Linked DNA regions of Sus scrofa. The protein of the gene in region 1 binds, or shares a complex with, the protein of each later gene. Links are inferred from orthologs where the notes say so. Each region holds a gene or a part of one and is shown on either strand. Other genes may lie near its edges.

What was found.
Region 2: the proteins of MIOS (region 1) and CASTOR1 are in contact, whole or in part, in a cryo-EM structure (PDB 9LVK), measured with the Homo sapiens proteins. The link is inferred for Sus scrofa from reciprocal best matches to the Homo sapiens genes MIOS and CASTOR1. Residues at the interface, in NP_001357005.1 of Homo sapiens: Ala83, Asn84, Val109, Pro110, Lys111, His112, Ala113, Arg114, Asp134, Lys135, His136, Arg137, Asn184; in NP_001032755.1 of Homo sapiens: Val94, Ser116, Thr117, Tyr118, Gln119, Thr120, Asp121, Thr188, Tyr236, Leu255, Thr256, Ser257, Ser258, Ala295, Tyr296.

The regions. Positions count from the first base shown.
Region 1 is NC_010451.4:77,876,188-77,885,707, forward strand, and holds part of MIOS (WD repeat-containing protein mio), read left to right. Parts: intron 1-4,373; coding exon 4,374-4,526; intron 4,527-6,235; coding exon 6,236-6,440; intron 6,441-9,520. UniProt on the Homo sapiens protein: As a component of the GATOR2 complex, functions as an activator of the amino acid-sensing branch of the mTORC1 signaling pathway. The GATOR2 complex indirectly activates mTORC1 through the inhibition of the GATOR1 subcomplex.
Region 2 is NC_010456.5:47,260,926-47,271,003, forward strand, and holds CASTOR1 (GATS-like protein 3), read right to left. Parts: upstream 5,805-10,078; 5' UTR 5,633-5,804; coding exon 5,520-5,632; intron 5,506-5,519; exon of another isoform or gene 5,153-5,505; intron 4,936-5,152; coding exon 4,865-4,935; intron 3,428-4,864; coding exon 3,023-3,427; intron 2,756-3,022; coding exon 2,632-2,755; exon of another isoform or gene 2,365-2,631; intron 2,196-2,364; coding exon 2,082-2,195; intron 1,918-2,081; coding exon 1,835-1,917; intron 1,744-1,834; coding exon 1,649-1,743; intron 1,519-1,648; coding exon 1,450-1,518; 3' UTR 980-1,449; downstream 1-979. Other genes in the region: TBC1D10A (TBC1 domain family member 10A), read right to left, coding at 8,518-9,003, 9,520-9,674, 9,768-9,957. UniProt on the Homo sapiens protein: Functions as an intracellular arginine sensor within the amino acid-sensing branch of the TORC1 signaling pathway. As a homodimer or a heterodimer with CASTOR2, binds and inhibits the GATOR subcomplex GATOR2 and thereby mTORC1.

The DNA.
Region 1 (9,520 bases):
TCCAGTGGTTAAAAACGGATTCCTGGCATAGATTCCCTTCTACTTTGCTTTTATTGGATATATGGTGAAATTTTAGAGTGTTTTCCTAAGATTTCCTGTAGCTCTCCAGCTAATCTTATCTCTTCTTGGTGTTCTCTTTTCTGTTCTTATCCTTTTGTGCAATATGATAGCATGCTATGTACTGGGTAAACAAAGTAAAATGCCCTCTCTCTGCATCCTACTTCCTTATCAACAAATGTAGATATTGGCCCACAAACCATAAAGTAATCTTATCCTAAGGTAGCAGGCCATGCTGGTAGAAAAGGTGTTCTTCAGCAGGGTAATGTATCATTGTCTTCTTACTGAAGTAAGTTTACATCTATTACATCAAGCTATGGCTACATGACTATGGAATTCAGATAGTTGGTAGCCTCTTAACAAGATTTATAAAATATATTTAAAATGCAGTGGGAGTTCTGTTGGTTCCACTGTGGCCCAACAGAATCATTGTCATTTCTGGAGTGCTGGGACACAGGTTTGATCCCTGGCCCAGCAAAGCAAGTTAAGGATCCGGTATTGCTGCAGCTGTAGTGTAGATCGCTCAAAACTCCCACTCAGATTTAATCCCTGGCCTGGGAACTCCATATGCCACGGAGTGGCCAAAAAAGAAAAATAAAATGCAGTGTATATTTGGATTTTGCTTTTAAAAAAAACCTAGTCTGATAATCAGTTGCCTTTTAATCGAGAAGTTTTCCCCCATTTATATTTATATGGTCAAGATTTAATCTGCCATCTTGTTTTCCCTTCTCTCTTTTGTTTTTCTCTTCCTTTCTTGCATTCCTTAGGGCTAATTAAATATTTTAGTATTTCATTTTATTTCATCTATTGACTTTGTAGCTCTACCCCTTTTCATTATCTTCTTCCTTATTTTAAGTAGTTGCTCTGTGTCTAACAATATGCATCCTTAACTCATCAGTCAACATTTACCTCCTCATACTTTACATTTCACACCTGATACATCATGCTTCCTACTTCACCCTTTCTCCTTCTTATCCCACAACTGATACTTTCCACGTTTTGCTTCATATTTCACCCTTAAAACATATTATAACATTGCAACTCCATTTACAAATCCTCCTTTTCTATCCTATTGTCATGTGTTTTTTTTTTTGTTTGTTTTTTTTTTTTTTGTCTTTTTTGTTGTTGTTGTTGTTGTTGTTGTTGCTATTTCTTGGGCCGCTCCCGTGGCATATGGAGGTTCCCAGGCTAGGGGTCCAATCGGAGCTGTAGCCACCGGCCTACGCCAGAGCCACAGCAACGCGGGATCCGAGCCGCGTCTACAACCTACACCACAGCTCACGGCAACACCGGATCGTTAACCCACTGAGCAAGGGCAGGGACCGAACCCGCAACCTCATGGTTCCTAGTCGGATTCGTTAACCACTGCGCCATGACGGGAACTCCTGTCATGTGTTTTATTTCTACATACATTATAAACCTCAGCTTACAGTGTTACTATTTTTGCTTTGAACAGTCATTTGTCTTTGATATCAATTATGTGAAGAATGAAAACACGGACTTTTATATTTATTTACTTATGTACCATACCTGGTGCTGTTTATTCCTTACAGTTGACGCAAATTTCACCTCATATCATTTCCCTTTGGTCTCTCTCTTTAGCATTTCTTATGGTTCAGATTTACTGGTGATGGATTCTCTCAGCTTAATCTTAATTGAAAATGTCTATTTCACTTTTTTTTTTTGCTCATTTTCTTTCAGCACTTTATTTTTTTTATTTTAAGCAGTTTCACATTGATGCCTAAGTATGGTTCTTTTTATCCTGCTTGTGAGTCACTGAACTTCTTGGATTTGCATGTTAAAGTTTTTCGTCAAATTTGGGAAGTTTTTTGACATGATTTCTTTAAATATTTTTCTCTGCCTCTATCTCATTCTCTTTCCCTTCTTGGACTATTATTACATGTATATTAAACCATTTCTTATTGTCCCATAGGTATCTGAGGCTCTGTTCATTTTCTTTTTTTCTTTGTTCTTTAAATTGGATAGATTCTGTTGACTTGTTACTTGGCTGGCTATTCTGTCACCTTCCATCTGTTAGGTTTTGCAGGGAATTCTTAATTTCAGTTACTGTATTTTTTAGTTCTAGAGTCTCAATTTTTTTTCTTTTTCTTTTTTCTTTTTATGGCCGCACCTGTGGCATATGGAGGTTCCTGGGCTAAGAGTCAAATTGGAGCTGCAGTTGCCAGCCTACACCACAGCTCATGGCAATGCTGGATCCTTAAACCCACTGAGTGAAGCCAGAGATTGAACCTGCATCCTCACAGACACTCCGTTGGGTTCTTCACCTGCTGAGAAACTCCTCTGTTTTTTTAATAGTTTACATTTTTCAGCTTTGATCCCTCTGTTGGCTAATTAAAACACTGTTTTCATTTAAGTCTGAATACATGTCTAATAGATGCATTGAGGTCTTTGCTTACTCTAACATAAGAACTATTTAAGATTTAGTTGTTGTGACTGCTTTTCTCTTTACTTTGAACCACATTTACCTCCTTCTTTATGTATCTAGTGATTTTTCGTTGAATATTGGACATTGCAGTAGATTATAGAGATATGGGTTCTTTCCCCTTTTCTTCTGAAGAGTGTTGGTTTATGCTTTTGGAAATTCAGTTACTTGTTTATCACTTTGGTCTTAGATTTTGTTTCTGTGGAAAGCCTATAGTATTTCCTAAGCCCTTCTAGCATGGTCAGACTTAATCTCTGAACTGTTTTCTCTGCAGACTTTGTCAGAACTTGATTTTAAGTTTTATCAAGGTAACTTACCAAATATGAATTGACCAAATCCTTTCTTAGTTTATCCTTATTGCCGTGGGAGGGGAAAGAGTAGGGCATGAAGATTTCTGATTTTTCTGTGAATTTTCTTTCTATATCAAGGATTGTATTATAGTTTAGTACTTAGTTCTGGCTAGTTTGTCATAATTGAGACTACAGTAGGTGTTTACTTTTTTAAGAAATGAAATTGTCAACTATGAGTTTCTCATGTGTTCTTTTAACTAAATTTAACTCTGGTAATTGCAATTAGTACTTAATTACTAGGTGAAAGATATGCTCCTTCTATCTGATGGAATGATTAAAGGTAGATTTTATTTATTAGCTGTTATAGGTTTCTTCCCATTTTCCATAAGATGTATGCTTAGTTCTCGCTATCATTTTACTTTCTCTGTGGCCCCAAAGAGGACTGGGAAAACTTGGCTTCAGATTAATGCCCATTGAATCAAGGGGGTAAAGACTTCGCTATTTTCTTCATCATGTGAAGATAAGCATGATATCCTGAACGAAGCTAAAAGCATTCTATGAAAACCCAAAGCAAGCATAGGGGAAATATTTACTGTCACAGCTGCCAGGGAAAATATAGCTTTAGGGAGTTCTCGTTGTGGCTCAGCAGTAACAAAACCTGCTAGTATCCACAAGGATGGGGGTTCAATCCTTGGCCTTGCTTAGCAGGTTAAGGATCCAGCGTTGCTGCAAGCTGTGGCATAGGTCACAGACATAGCTGCATTGCTGTGATTGTGGCATAGGCCAGCAGCTGCAGCTCTGATTCAGTCCCTAGCCTGGGAACTTCCATAGGCCGAAGGTGTGGCCCTAAAAAGACAAAAAAAGAAGGAAAACAAAATATAGCTTTAGGGAAATTTTTAGTAGCAGGAAATTGAAGTTCTTAATGAGAAGGGATATAGAGTAAATTTAGGGAAAGAAATTGTTGCTTTTCACTGTGGCCTAGAGGCAAAAGAACTAAATAGTTTGGTTTCAATTTTGGGGTTTTTTTCTTTTTTTTTTGTTTTTTAATTGTTAAGGTGATAAATTTATGTTTAATTGAGGGCTATAGACAGAATGGACAGGTTTAACTTTCATATAAATAGGTTTACAGAAAAAGCATCTCAATTCATAATGCATTGCTAGATATGAAGGACCAGGCTCAGTATTATTTTAAATGTGATTAAGCAATTTTAGTGTGTATTTGAATGAAATAGTAAATGTATTTTGTGAACCTAGAGGTTTTGGTTGTTGGGACAAAGAGTATTCATGTCACTTGTTACTGCGTTCAACCAGGAAGGTGAATTGATTGCTCTTAGGTCTTTAAACTTAAATAAGATAAAATTAACTTCCCTAGCCAGTGCATATTCATGTCATTAGTAGAGGCCAGCTTAAAGTAAATTAATGGAACGTCCATCATTTAATATGTCTATATCCTGATTAGGAGCCAGCTTTTGGCAAAAAGGAGGCCTATTTTTTCCCGAGTTACTCAGATTCATGTTACCTAGAATCTTCAGCCTTAACCAGGAATATTTAAAAAACTGAAATAATTCATGTTTTCTTTTTAGGGTTCTCCTTTAGATGTTCTTAAAGATGAAAGAGTTCAGTATTGGATTGAGAATTACAGAAATTTATTGGATGCCTGGAGGTTTTGGCACAAACGAGCTGAATTTGATATTCACAGGAGTAAGTTGGATCCCAGTTCTAAGCCTTTAGCACAGGTAAGTAAATTGTTTTGGAGAACATCAAACTGTAACATGTACCTAATATCCCAGCAAAAAATTAGAAATGTTTACAGTGTGTTATATAGAATAATTTGAGAGTTCACTTTAATACGTTATTATTAATAAACTCATCTTTCATTCATGTTGAATTCCCATTTATGTCTCTCTCCATCCCAGACTGCACTTTCGTTAATCTTGCTGGTTTTTTTCATCCTGCCACTTCCTAATAATCATCTCAGTGACTTGACCTTTAGTCTGACACAGAGCAAAGCACAGCCAGCCTATAAAATCTTAGGCAAACCTAAATCAATCCTAGGGCTGTCTGCTCTCCCATGTTTCCTAGTATGTTCCAAGCCCTTTTAGAATCTAAACTGTATGATCTTATAAATTCCACTTATGTATTGATTTTTTTCTGTACTGCTTATATGTAATAAGGCAGGAGTTGTTTCTTTAATAGTATATTCATATAAACCTATATGTTTAATTAAACACATGGAAATTTTTTTTCTTCTAGCAATAATTTAAAGACCGTGAGATCAACACACCACTGTGTGTGTGTATAAAACATAGATAAACACCAAGGATTTACTGTGTAACACAGGGAACATATTCAGTATCTTATAATAACATATAATGGAAAAGAATCTGAAAGAGAATATATATCTAACTGAATAACTTTACTGTATACCTAAAACTAACATACTATTGTAAATCAGCTATACTTCAATTAAAAAAAAACGAGATCAGTTATCACATAAAACACTTGACATGAGGTGGCTGTGTCTCAGTTCAGGCATTGAATAGCAGGTATATCCTCAATGTGAGCACTTGATGGTGCTATTTTCTTATTTTAGAAATTTGAAAAATTAGTGTTTATATTAAAACAACCTGAGTGTTAGTAGAATAGCATTATGTGATAATGTTTGTTACTGATCTATATGATAAGTGTTTAAAACCTAGGAATTCAATGTAAAAGTAAAATGAACAATCTCTATTGCTATTATTTTAAAGTTTTAACTATTTACTATTACAGGATCCCTTAATTCCTTTTTATCTTAGGAAATGAGTGTTTTCTTAGTAAGAAAATTTTGTGCAGGAAACTATACCATTGAACTTTGTATTAAAAGTCATATTGGGATATTTTGTAATGTCCAGTGTGAACTCTAAAGTCCTTGTTTTTCAAAAATGTTGGGAATTTGTGTTCCAAGTTTTTCTGCAGATGTCAGTGGTGTTAGGAAGAATATAGCTAAACAAAAGTAACAGAGAAGTACTCAAATAATGTAATTGCTAATTGGAAGTCTTAAATGAGAGCAAGTCATCTTAGCACATAAATTATTTTATAGAATTAAATTAAAATTTTTTTTTTCTTTTTAGGGCCACACCTGCAGCATATGGAAGTTCCTGGGCTAGGGGTCGAATTGGAGCTGCAGCTGCAGGTTTATACCACAGCCACAGCAATGCAGGATCTGAGCCACATCTGTGACCTACACCACAGCTTGTGGCAATTATGGATCCTTAATCCACTGAGCGAGGCCAGTGATCAAACTCACATCCTCACAGACACTATATCAGGTTCTTAACCTGCTGAGCCACAATGGGAACTCCTAAAAAATTTTACAAGCAATTTGTTAGGATCAGTCTTTGATTATTTAAAAATTTTTTTTAAGTTTCAATTATATTTATTCCTTCTTTCATTTGTTTTATAGGTGTTTGTGAGTTGCAATTTTTGTGGGAAGTCTATCTCCTATAGCTGTTCAACTGTGCCCCATCAGGGCAGAGGTTTTAGTCAGTATGGTGTCAGTGGATCACCAACGAAATCTAAAGTCACAAGTTGCCCTGGATGTCGAAAACCCCTTCCTCGATGTGCACTTTGCCTCATTAATATGGGAACACCTGTTTCTAGTTGTCCTGGTATGTCATGTTTCTGCAGTATACTTTTCTGCGCTGAAATTGTTTCTCCATAATTGATTTAATGTTATAAATAAAAGACACTCCAGCTTGAGTTTATATTATTTCTAAGAGCAAGCCACTTTGCTGGCTTGAAGGTTTTTATGTTCTCTATAATTTATAAAATCTACATTTAAAGTAAAATCTATATCCATCATATCTTAGGTAATCTCACAAATGCTAGCCAACTTAAAGTTTATAAGATGAGCTTAAATACTAAATAATCTTATACTATTTTCATATCACTTTTTCTAAGAGGAGCTCCCTCAAATTTTATGTTTAAAAGTCAGAATGGCCTCATTTAGTAACGAATACCTTGTATGCATAAAGAACTTTGGTAGTCTCAGAGCACTTTCACATTTTCTCCAATTTCTTCTTCAAAATCTACCTATGGCAGTACAGAAAGTGTTAACCTAGTGATCAGATACCTTTACTTCTGAGTTTTGGTGTTGCTTCTGCTACATTTGTCAGTTACTGTATAAATATGTGTATGTGTGTATTTAATCATGAGAGATAATAAGGAATATTGTATACTATTTAAAGTAAACATACAGAAGATTTTTGAGAATAATAGATAATTAAACGTAAGATACTTAGTGGCTAGAAATATTTTAGCTTTTATATAACTTGAAAATGATACTGTCACAAAAATTTTAATTAAAAACATTTGAAAATCTGGGACACTGGTAAAAAAATAATTAAAAAAGAACCAGATATGGGAGTTCCCATTGTGGCTTAGCAGAAACAAACCCCACTTAAAAAAACAAAAAAGAAAAGAAACAAACCCAGCTGATACCTCTGAGGATGTGGGCTCCAGACCTGGCCTTGCTCAGTGAGTAAAGGATCCAGTATAACCATGAGCTGTGGTGTTAGTCGCAGATATGGATCAGATTTGGCGTTGCTGTCGCTGTGGTATTAGGCTGACAGTTGCAGCTTTGATTTGACCCCTAGCCTGGGAACTTCCATATGCCACACCTGCAGCCCTTAAAAAAAAAAAAAGCAGATGTAGTATCAGAACTCCTCTTTTAGTTGTGACTCTGTGAATTGAGTCTGTGACACTGGTGACAACAGTCTCTTTAGTAATCTTTCATATGAGGTGCTGGACTGGGAGATCCTTGTTAGTTATGAAATTTTCTATTTCCACTCTGCAGCTGGTTCTTGTGAGTGGTCTATTTTATTGTTTCATTAGTATCTATGAAAGAGATTTGCTGGTATCATTAAGTTATTTTTTTTAAACAAATGCTGTGTGTAATATTTTCAAATGCACATGTTAGTTTTGATTTAAATTTTAATTGAAGATATTTTTATTTTTTATACTGCATGTTGATCACTTTTTTATGGCCTCAATACTAATAAATAGGAAATAACAATTTGGAATAAAAATCTGTACAGTGAAAGAAGAAGGAGGCAAAATATAGTATAAGTAAGTTCTTTGTGATCTGAGATACATGGAATTAGTTCAATTTAATTATTTATTTGGCTCCACTCATGCCACATTGAAGTTCGGAAGCCAGGGATTGAACCCATGCCACAGCAATGACCTGTGCCACAGCACTGACCATGCCAGATCCTTAACTGCTAGGCCACTACGGAATTCCAGAAATAGTTCAATTTAATGCATCTTTTGGATCATAAACCTCAGAAAACTGTAATGGCCAGAGTGCGCTTACTTTTTGCTAGATAATAGTTTTTCAATTTTTTTCTATTTTTGAAATGGGTGAGAAAAGATAAAAGCAATTTTCTAGAATTTGAAAATTAAATCATAAAACATTTTAAGTTTTATGTTATGGAGACTATTAATTTAATGAATATTCAACACCCAGTATATCATATCCTAGCATTTTCTCATATTTGCTTCAAAAAATTTTTTCTAAATTTGCTTCAGTAATAATTCCTTAAATTGATTTGAGTACTTGTTTAAGGCACTAAGTTAAGGCTGACGTACCAGACGTCCTCATGGAGCTCATGGTATACGATGAGCATGGATACCTAACATAAAATGAGATGTTATATTTTCTAGAAAATAGGTACTAGTCCAGAATCTCTTATTTACCATTCCAAAATCTCTTAAAGATCTGAAAAGCCAAAGTTTTGGTTGGCTTTTTTGTTTTTAATGAATTTACCATAATCTCATTTGGTAAAAAATAGCTGTTCAGAATTGACATGAGGTTATTGCAATCTTTCTCTTATTTGTGAACATTCACATGCTTCCCTGCAGAAACACTAATATGTTAATTACAGGATGCTGTTCAGACTTTTCCTGGAGGTGTTATATAATATTTGTTCATTATTTTTCCAGAACCCCAAAATATTCCAAATTCTGAAACATATTTAGCTCTGTGAGGTAAATGAGATAATATAAGAAGACAGTATTGTGAATTTTGAAAGAGGGTAACATACCTTTTCTCTGAATAATGTCTGGGAAACTTCAAAAAGAAGATGCCATTTTAAGCTGGTCCTTTAAAGTTTGGTAGATTTAAATATGTGAATATTTTAGAGAAGCCTGTCAGGTTGTAGAAAAAGAGTAAAAAGCATGAACTAGGGTAAAAAGTTAGTGAAAATGATAAATATAGAGAGGGTATGGGAACTACCAAATGTACTGATGTGACGTGGCCTAGGAAACAGACTCATAGGAAACAGTGTAGGAAAATTAGGGGAGCCTGTGTATGATCTTTAAAGACCATTACTCAGCCAATTACAAAATAATTAACTTTCCTATTTCTTTTTTTTTTTTTTTGGTAAAATCAGAAGAATCTGAATTCCAAAATAAAATAGGACCTAATAGAAATCAAATACTGGCTCATGGCAGTTTAAAGATACAGGTGTATAAACCCCTGTGGTGCTTTACCTCCCTCCATCCATCATGTTTTATGATCCAAATAGCCAGGATTTTCATAAGCTTATTTAACTGAGGGTTGCGAATTTTTACATTCCCTTGTACTTTGAAGCTTGAAGCTCTACTGAAATTGTCACATTGAGTTTATAATTATAAATGTTTATAATGTTTATAACTTGCAAACAGTAATATTTAACATTAAAAATTA
Region 2 (10,078 bases), on another chromosome or scaffold:
CCCAGGGTCCCCGACAGCTCACTCACCGGGCTGGGCTATGCTCCCTGCTCCTCTGATCTGCAGCCCCCGGGTTCCCAGGGCAGGGTGGGCGCACTGCCAGAGGCCTGGCCTGGTTCTGGCTTTTCTGGGGAGCCACCAAGACCTCTGAGTACGCCGAAGTCACACCCTTCTTCCCTTCCTGGGCACAGGCGGGCCTAGGCTGAGGGCACCTGATAACCTCCCCAGCGTCTGTGGGGCCCCCTTGGGCCACGGTGGAGTCCCAGCTCACAGAGCGGGGAGGCGGCCCCTCTGTGGCAGGAAACCTGGGCCCAGATGTGTGGAGCCTCTGACCCCAGCATGCGGCCATCACAGGAAGAGTGGGCTCCAGGTGGCCTCCAGGTCCTTGTCCTGTCCTCCCAGCCAGGTGAAGCCCAGCATGTGGGCTCCCAGGTCCCCGCTCTGCCTGGCTCCCTCCTACCACTGCTCCAGTGGGAGCTCTGGTGGCAAGAACTGATCAGTCTCCTGTGAGGGACAGCCAGAACTCAGGTGTGGTCCAAAAGAAAGCAGGCAGCAGCCTGGAGAAAAGGTGCTTTGGGGCCCCCCTTAAGGGTGTTTTGCAACAGGCCAGCCACACCCAAGGTGGCAAGGAGCCTGGGGGAGCTCCAAGCAGGAAGGTCCAGGAGCCTCTGCCCCTGTTCTGAACCGTGTAGACTATTCAAAAGCAGCAAGAAATGAAGAAAGTGACTGGACCCCAGAGCCAGGCAGCCCTGACAGGAACCATAGGACCCTGGCTAAGTCACTCCACCTCCCACCTCTGGTCCTTCATCTGGAGAATGGCAATGGTTCACCTACGCTCTGGAGGTGAGAATGGTGGGAGGTGAGGCGATCCCGGCCTGAGCCAGCTGCACAGGGAGAGTCCAGGATCTCAGGCAGAGGGGCCCCCAGGGGCAGCAAAGTAGCTGTGGCCAAGGCTTGAACAACCCCAAAGACCACAGCCCAGCCCACTCACTACAAGCTCTTTATTAACAAGTTGATAAAAAAAGGAAGAGAGAGAGAGATGTAAAAATACTTCTGGTGGTCCCAGGAAGGGGAGGCACTTGTCAGAACTCACCTGGCCAGGGAAGGCAACCCCCAGCCCGAGGCAGAACGGAGATCAGGGCCCTGTCCAGGAGCAGCCAGCCAGACGGGGCTACCGAAAGGGGGAAGGCTTGGGCCTCAGGCAGGGAATGTGCAAACGCCGAGGCCCAGCAGGGAGTGATGGGTTGAGGGCTTCCTGGAGGAAGCCCTGAGCACCGTATTCCCCTGTGGGGGGCAGACACGTGTGTCCACGTGAGAGCCGGTGCTCTGCCCACAGCTTATATACACAGAGCAGAAGGAGGGATCCCCCAGCAGGAATGTCCCAGAGCTTGAGGAAATATTCGAGAAATCTCTGGAAGCCTGAGGGCAAGGGGAGAGGCCGGAGGCTGCTGCTCAGGAGCCCAGGCCCTCCTGCCGGCGCTGGAGGACCTCGATAGCACTGCTGATGCCGTCCTCGGGCACCTGCGGGCAGGTGGACAGAGGAAGGTGTCACGGCTGCTCAACTTCCTGGCCTGACTGGGACCACCTCCTGGGCCCCCTCCTGGGCCTCAGTGTCCCTGCAGGAGCCCTGGCCCCAGACGGTGGTGCTCACCAAGGCATGGTCGAAGTTGAAGGTACTGATGTAGTAGGCAGAGATGTCAGCCGCAGCCAGGGGACCTGCAATCTGGGCCACGATCCCACACTCATCTGAGGGTGGAGGAGGGGGTCCATGTGGATCACCCTGATGCCCCCCTCCTGGCCCTTCCCAAGCCCCCGACACACAAGGTGCAGCCCTCACCAAAGCCCAGGGGCTGTCCGCCGATGCGCACCATCCTCCACAGCTCCCCCGAGGAGCTGGTCAGCAGCAGGTCACTGGGGAACCTGGGGAGGCAGGGGTGGTGGGCAGGGTACCCTGTCTCTTCCTTGCCCCACTGTGAGCCCCCAGAGCAGATCAGCCTGATGACCTTGGAGTCTGATGTTCCACCTCCTTCCTCTTAGGGACTGGCTTAGGGTCTGTGGCCCACCTGGGGTCAGGGGTCACGTACTTTTTCTGTGTCTCAGCATCCATGACAATGGAGATGTAGCCCTCGATGAGGGAGAAAGCAAAGAAGGTGATGGAGCTGGATCCAGGACTGCCAGAGGCTGCCTCCTTAGGGCCACTGGGAAGGGATAGGAGGCTCAGGCACTCTTCCCTCTCCCTCTCTGCCCAGTGGGCCTCTAGACCCCTGGGAAGGGGCTGGCACAGGTGGCCCTGGGAAGATGCTCATGTCCCTGAGCCACTTTCCTCCCCATGCCATGGGTAGGGATGGGGGAGGAGGATGAACCTACTTGTGCCAAAGATGCAGGATCCCAGGACCACAGGGCCTGACCAGGGCACACTTCAGGAGTAGCTCTGCCCACCCCAAAGGGAAGGGCTCCAGCTGCAGCACCAGGACCTTGCCTGAACCTCAGTGAAGGGCCTGTGGGCACTGCAGGCTGCCAGGAACCCCAGACATGGAACAGGGTACAGCACTGCAGAGCCAAGGGACTGGTGGAAGGTGGTGGGACAAAGCGTAGGGAACAAGCTGTGAGATCAAAGAGACAAACAAGGCCCACCTGTGCGAGTAGAAGAGGACATCGATGAGGGTGGTGGCGATGGCTGGCAGTGTCTCAGGGTCCAGCGTGAGGACACAGAAGCGGTTCTGTGGGCTCTGGATGGGATGCACTGTGGGGCTGGGCCCTGCTCAGGGAGCAGGTGGTGGTGGGTGAAAGGGAGACTGTGGGCTGGAGTGCCCCCTGGTGGCCAGCCAGAAAGGGGGCCTGGGCTAGGTGTAGGGTCACTTGCTACATACCGGAATCTGCCTTAGTTTCCCTGCCGTGTCTCCCTATCTTGTGAGGGGGTCAGTGTCAGCTGGTCTCCCCAAGCCCACAGACCCACCCACAAAGGGAAGGGCCCCAGTGGGAAGAGGAGCCCCCACCAGGCCTGGGTGTCAGAGGTGACCCTCACCATGCTGGGCACGGGGAAAGCCGTTGCTGGAATCATCCCTGGCAACAGGAACAGGCTCCCCGCCCACCTCTCGGTAGATATCAAATTCCTGGGCCAGTGTGTGGATCACCACGGATAGGTCCTGCTCCCGCACCTGGGCCACAAAGATGACACAATACACGGGTCCCCAGGCACCCGTGTCCACCCTGCCTTGCCCCAGCACCTGCAGGAAACTCACCAGGATGAAGTCTGTCTGGTAGGTGGACAGCATCAGCACGGACACGTGGTGCTCAGCCAGCGGTGCAATTACTGAGCGGGCAATCTTGGTGACCCCAGCAGCCTGCACTGCTGTGCCGCTGTGGGATGACACATTCAGCACTAGCCACGTGGCCTCGGCCACTTGTAGGAACTCAGACGTGGGCAGCTCTGTGGGGCAGGGGGACACACCCAGTCAGGGCCTGTAGGGCTGGCCCCTGGCCTCAGTTTCCCTGTCTGCGCTTTGGAGGGCTCTACCAAGGTAAGGTCCACTCTGGAAAATAGAGCTGTCCTCCTCCCCCAAGTTCTGCTCCTGAGACCTGCATATATGCAAAGACTGAGAAGTGCTTTGGGTGTTGGCCTGTCAGGGATTGAAACTTCCCAGTTAAAATGGAAGCTTGGAGTTCCCGTCGTGGCACAGTGGTTAATGAATCTGATTAGGAACCATGAGGTTGCAGGTTCGATTCCTGGCCTTGCTCTGTGGGTTAAGAATCTGGCGTTGCTGTGAGCTGTGGCATAGTTTGCAGACGCGGCTCAGATCCTGAGTTGCTGTGGCTCTGGCGCAGGCTGGTGGCTACAGCTCTGATTAGACCCCTAGCCTGGGAACTTCCATATGCTGCGGGAGTGGCCCTAGAAAAGGTAAAAAATAAAATAATAAAATAAAATTGGAGCTCAAAATTCAGACAGACCTGGGTTTTAATCCCAGCTTCATCATTTACTTTCTGTTGACCTGTGGCAAATGATTTAACTTCTGAGAGCCTGTTTCTCCTACAGAAACTGAGTATGTATGCACTGAGTATCAGAGGCCTTACACCATGTGGTACCACCAGGGGGAGCCAGCAGTCCAAGTTGGCTGGGAGATGCCTTCCTCGTTAGCAGACCCAGACTTTTCCGCAGCATAAATAGGGAAACTAAGTAGCCCTGTAGGGGAGGGAGGGAGCCCCAGCTGGCTGGCCAGAGACTCCAGGCCTGTAAGGATGGGTCAAGCTGGCAGGAGAGAAGCCAGATATCAGCTCCAGGGATCAGGGAGGGACCAGGCTGGTGTCCAGTCCAGCACATGGGCCACAGCCAAGGTGGCTGCTAATCGCCCAAACACAGCTAGGAGGCCCCGTAGGATCCTGCCCTGGGCTGGCTGCCGGCTCCTGCATTCCTTCCCCAACCCTCAGACTCTCGGAGTTCCCAGACCAGTCAGGGAGGGAGTGACCCACACCAGGGAGTGAAGCCCAAGGGGAAATAATGGGGTGGGGGGCAAGAACAGCCACAGAAGCCTGATTCTTGCCCCAGAGCTGTAACTGAGGCCCTGCTGCTGGTCTGTGGCTGCTAAATGCCCTTTACACACTGCCCCATTTATAAAACCCTCATGGGGCCAAATAGATCAGAACCGTAACTATATCCATTTTACATAAAACGAAATAAACAACTCAGAGAGGGGAAGTGACTTGATCAAGGGCACACAGCCAGTGAGTAGTGGAAATGGACTGGAACCCAGATCATCTGCCTTCAGGGCCCCAACTCTTGGTACATTAGATCCTAGCATTCTCTTAGAATCCTGCAAAAAGGGGAGGACAACCTCCTTCCCCTACTCACCCTCCCCAGCCCAGTCCCCACCTTTGAAGCCCTCCTCGTCCACCATGAGCGTGTAATCCTCAGGGGTCTCCGTCAGGCTGAAGAATTTGCACCTGGGTGGGGGCAGGGAGCATCTTCAGCCTGGGTGGGCGGAGGGGGCGGGCAGACACCCCCCACCCCGGCTGGGCGTCTCCCTGCCCCCTCCAGACTCAATTTCCTCCCCAGAACAGTGGGGCGTGGGCCCCATCTCCAGAATTGCGAACCGTTTTCCTCCGCCCAGATCTCTGCAGAAGCCCCTGCCCAGCATTCCAAGAGGAAGGAGAGGCTCACCCAAGGCGGCAGTCCCGGGCGTCCGAGCCCCCTTAGACCAGCCCCTCTGACCCGATGAGAGGCAGCTGGAAAAAGTTCTCCGAAGTTGCCAGGAAGAAATGCCCCCATGTGAAACCACTAGGAGTTAAGCACTGACCATCCCAGGCTGTCTGCGCCTTAACAAGCTCTGTGAGGGGGCCTCACGAGCCGGATAGGCGGCGGTCCCAGGGAGGGTAGGCCCAGGCCGGATGGCGGCGGTGGGGAGCGGGGGGCGGGGAGCGCTCTCCCTGTCTGCTCCCGCTGGCCCCGCGGAGGTCCTAATCTCCCGATCCCATCTCAGAGTGACAGTGCAGCCCACCCCCCTCTGTGCCCGGACCCGGACGCGCACCGGCTTCGGCGGGGCAGGAAGAGCAGCTTGATGAGTGGGTGAGTGTAGAGCCAGAGACCGGGCCGGGCGAGGCTCAGCACCCGCACCCGGTGCTCTAGGATGTGCAGCTCCATCGCGGTCCGCGCGGACCCGACCCCACGGCCAAACAGACCCAGGCCGTGCCGGGGGCGGGGCGGCGGGGGCGGTGCCGGGAGGTGCTTAAAGGAGCCGCTGCGCCGCAGAGTCCTAGCCGCCAGCCACGCCAGCTCCCTGACGGCCACGCCGCGCAGGACTGGGGGCCAATCCAGGGTGGCCACGCCTCCTTGTAACGCTAGAGACTCACTCCGCCCCTTATGGCCCCGCCCCTTCGGCATTGGCTCCGGAATCACCACCTAACCCCACCCCCGTCGCGTCCTCCAGGCCCCGCCCATGCCTCTCCCCCACTCCGGGCTCCGCCCTTTCCGCAGGACTCCCGCAGCTGCTCCGGAGAGCCCGGGGAGGCTTGGGGTCTTTTCTGCACTAAGGGCCTTCTGATTAAGTTCACCAAGGCTTGGGAGGGCCACAAGATGAACCGGGGCTCGGCTGTGACCAGAACACTGCTCCCAAATCCTTGAAACATGGGTGGGTAGGGGTCCACTGTGCAACCTAGGAGACGTTGTTGTTCTGTCCCAATAAAGGGTCCTGGCACCTTTCCCTCTCCTTCCTCTGATGGCTTAGCATGAGGCAGGGCCACCAGAACTGGCTGGGGTGGCAGTGAAAAAAGTTCCACAGCCCAGGATAGCACTGATACAAACCCCTCCAAGCTTTGTGAGCCCTGTGAGTGGGCTAACAAGATGAAACCCAACCTGAACTTGGTGGTCCCCACATCTGTTCCTCTCACCCACCTTTCAGAGTAGAAGGCTCCCCACCAGAATCAAAGATGGGGAGGGCCCCAGCTACCTCTGAGCAATACACTGTAGGGTAGGGAGCTGAAGGTAGTCTGGACTAACATTTGAGGCTTAAGACTTAAGTATTTGGGACAGGAATGCCCAAAGCTCAAACTTTGGGGGGCAGGGCCATGCATCCAGAGCCCAGTGTGTAGTCAGACTTAAAAGCCTACAGTCATTAGAACTTGGGCCTGAGCACATTTAAGCTTGTTTCATGTCCAAGGAGGCCCCCAGATCTGAAGCTTGTTAGTGCCACCTTGGGTTCATTTCAACATTAGGGCTGGGGTCTGCTCAGGCCTCTCAGGTTTGCAAAGACCCCAGTGCTGAGCAGACATCAGCACACCTAGGTTGGTTTCCCAGCAGGATGGGACATGTTCCAGGGGCCCTTGCCTGGCCTGCACATCCTCAGGCCTCAGATCCAAGGCTTTGAACCAAGCAGGTTAAAGCAGGCCTCAGGCCTGATTGGGTCCCAGCAGGCCTGAGCAGGCCTCCTACCTGCTGGGGCGGGCGGGCGTGGGGTGGGGGGTGGCGGCAATTGCACGCAGCTAGTAGTGGGGCAGCACCTTCCCTCCCTGGACTCACCAGTTTGGTGGGTTCTGCTGGAACACTGCAGCCACCACATCCTGGCCAGACCCCTAGAGGGCCAGGGGGTGGGAGGTGTCCTCAGGAGGCTGAGCCCCTCATCTGGTTGACGGCAGGTGTACATGGGGTAGGAAGCCACAGGGGTAAGGGGCAGGAGGTAGGAAGGGTGTGGTTTGCCCTGACAGATTCATGTGACCCTTGACCTCCTCAGGCCTCAGTATCCCCAGCTGTACCAGGACAAGATGTTCCAGGCTGAGGCCCTGAGATGCTTAAAAGCTCCCAGGGAGGCTCTAGTCCTGCCTCCCTGCTCCCCCATTGCCCAGCCCAGCTTGGTGGCCAGCCAAGAACAGTCACTATTGTTTGACTGGAAAAGCTGCTTCCTCAGCAGAAGGGGGGCCTCTCCCAGGGACACCCTGTCCTCACCCTTGCCAGTCATCAGCTATGACACTACTGCCAACTTGGGCCTTCAATGGCAAAGTCAGGAGAGGTAGTTGGGGGCTCTGGGTACAAATCTGGATCAGCTTCATTTTTCCCACTTAGCTCCTGTTTCCTTATCCATAAAAGGGGGACAATAATAAAACCTACCTGATCAGGCATGTGACACAACCAGCCCAGCCTGGCATATGCTACATGGCAGGTAGCCTTTCATCAAAGATACAGATTTGGCCCCACACCCCTTTGCTTTTGATGGAGGCCTGGGATGAGCATGTGAGGGCATTCATGATCCCTCACTCTTGGCACCAGCACCCAACCCAGAATGAATACTCATTACCTTATTGGGGTCCAAAATAGCATCCAGGCTAGACCTTAGAAGAGGAAGACCCTTAAAAGGACCTCCCTAAGGAACCCCTCCCCTTCGGTGATGGGCAGGGATCAAGGCCTGGGGAGCAGGCTCTGCTCTGCCCCAGCACTAGTGACCCTCATCCATGGCAGATGGTGAACATGGGTCAGAGGGGACAGGATAAGAGGATACAGGGGCCAGGAATAGGAGCGGGCCCTAGATTTGGCCTCCCCTCTGGCAAAGGTACTTCCCAGAAAGGCTCTAGTGCTGCACTAGGACCAGGATGGGGCCTCTGCAGGGTATGGAGAAGAATGCTGAGCACAGCGGGGGTCGGGGAACAGACCCCCCTCTCCAGTCCCTAGCTGCACACCAGCTCTCTACACAAGCCTGTTTATTTCTGTACAAAACCATGTTTCTATTTTACACAAAGAGCACCCCACCCTTTATCCCTCCCTCTCCCCTCACATCAGTGCCCTGGTCCCGGAGAACATGCCTCCAGGAGGAGGGGGCCAAACAAGGCCTCACCCACTTCTGCCTGCCCCAGCTGGGCCTGCCCAAGCTCCACTCTGGAGAAAATAAATAAGGAGGCTCAGGCAGAATCTGTGCTGGGCCAGCCAGACTCCCTGCCGACCAGGCGACCGGGCCCTCAGAGGGTGGGCAGGCCCTGAAGTCAGTCCATGTACTGTATAGGTGTGTGGAGACCCCAGCCCCGGGGCCTGAGCTGCCATGGTTACAAGTAGGTGTCCTCACTCTCCTGGGATGTCAGGCTCTCCTGGGAGCGGTGGTGGGCTGTGTCCTGGGGAGCTGAGTCTTGAGGGGCTGGGTCCTGGTGGCCTGGGTCCTTCGAGGGCACATCCTGTGGGGGACATGCATCTCCAGCAGCGGCCACCACTTTGGCTTGACTTGTGGTTGTGGGCTTGTCTGGCTGCCCACTCGCCTTCGCCTGCTTCCGCTGTTCCTTCTGCTCCTTCTGGACCTGCTTGGATGGCTTGGACTTGCCTTTGGAGCCAGGGAGGGGGGCGTCCGGAGGCAGGCGGATGGATGGTGAAGGCTGCAAGGTGGGCCATGGGCCAGGCTCTGCCTCCAGGATGGCCTTGGCGCCGTGCAGCCTGGGCGACGAGTGGCACTGCAGTTCACCCCGGGTCTCCTGCCAGCGCCGCAGCTGGATGAGGTGCTCGCGCTCAATCTGGCGCTCTGTCACTGACAACTCTACCACCTGTAGGGGTGGTGACAGGCAGGTGGGCACCAGGAAGAAGAACCTTCCCCTTCTGCCCCCCAGCCTGGGCCCCTGCTCTCCCTCAGCTGTCCCAGCCCTGGTCACTAAAGTAGTGGTGGTCAAAAGTCCCTGAGTGCCAGGTGAGCCAGGAGTTTTATACTCACTGCCTCAGAGGAGAAAACTCCCCACAACTCTTGAGTCTACTTGCCTAACTATGTGTCACCCCATTTCAGCCCCAGATACAAATCCACAATGGAAAGAAAAAAAAGGGAAAATAAAGCAAAACCATGGTTATGGAGCCAGGGAGGAAGGGGGGTGATGAGCTGCATCTACTCATATTCCTGAAGACCTAGGCCTCTCTGTGCCTGTTCTTCTCATGCAGACAGAAGGATGAGATCTGTGCACAATCCTGGGCTGCTGAGCACCAGGCCTTGGGGGCAGAGGGCTACCAGGCCCTCAAAAGACCCTCATGTCTTCCCCTCCCTCCCAGTGGTGGGGGGAAGATGTGGACTGTACCTCCTGGACCAGGAAGGCCTCCTCCATGATCTTGGGGCTGAGGCTCCTCAGCCGCTCAATGGTCTCGTACTGGCCCTGGCAGGCTTTGAGCTTCTCGGGGGAGCCCAGCGCATGCTTCAGCAGCACCAACCCCACCCGGAAGATGATCTTGACTCCTGCATGGAGAGCCAGCAGTGAGTGCGAGGGGCCCTTTAGGGAGTTTCTCTAGAAATAGAGGCCCTCATGGGCTGGACTAGGGACAGAGGTACCTTCGCAGAAGAACATGTCCCAGACACGCAGCACGGAGCTCCAGGGTAAGGTGCGGGCGAAGGCACACATGAACCACTCTGTCATGTAGAGCAAGGGGTCAATCTTCTGCTGGCTGAGGTGCTTGTGGGCCACAGGAGACACCTTCTGGAGCAGCGAGAAGAGGATCTCCCCATCCAGCTGGATGGCCTCCTGGGGAGACATGAAGCCACCGGACTGTGGGACCACAGCAGCCAAGGTGGGAAGGATGTCCCAGCTCCCAACTCCAGGCAGGCATTCATCCCTTCCTCAGGAAGCAAACACTATAGGGTGC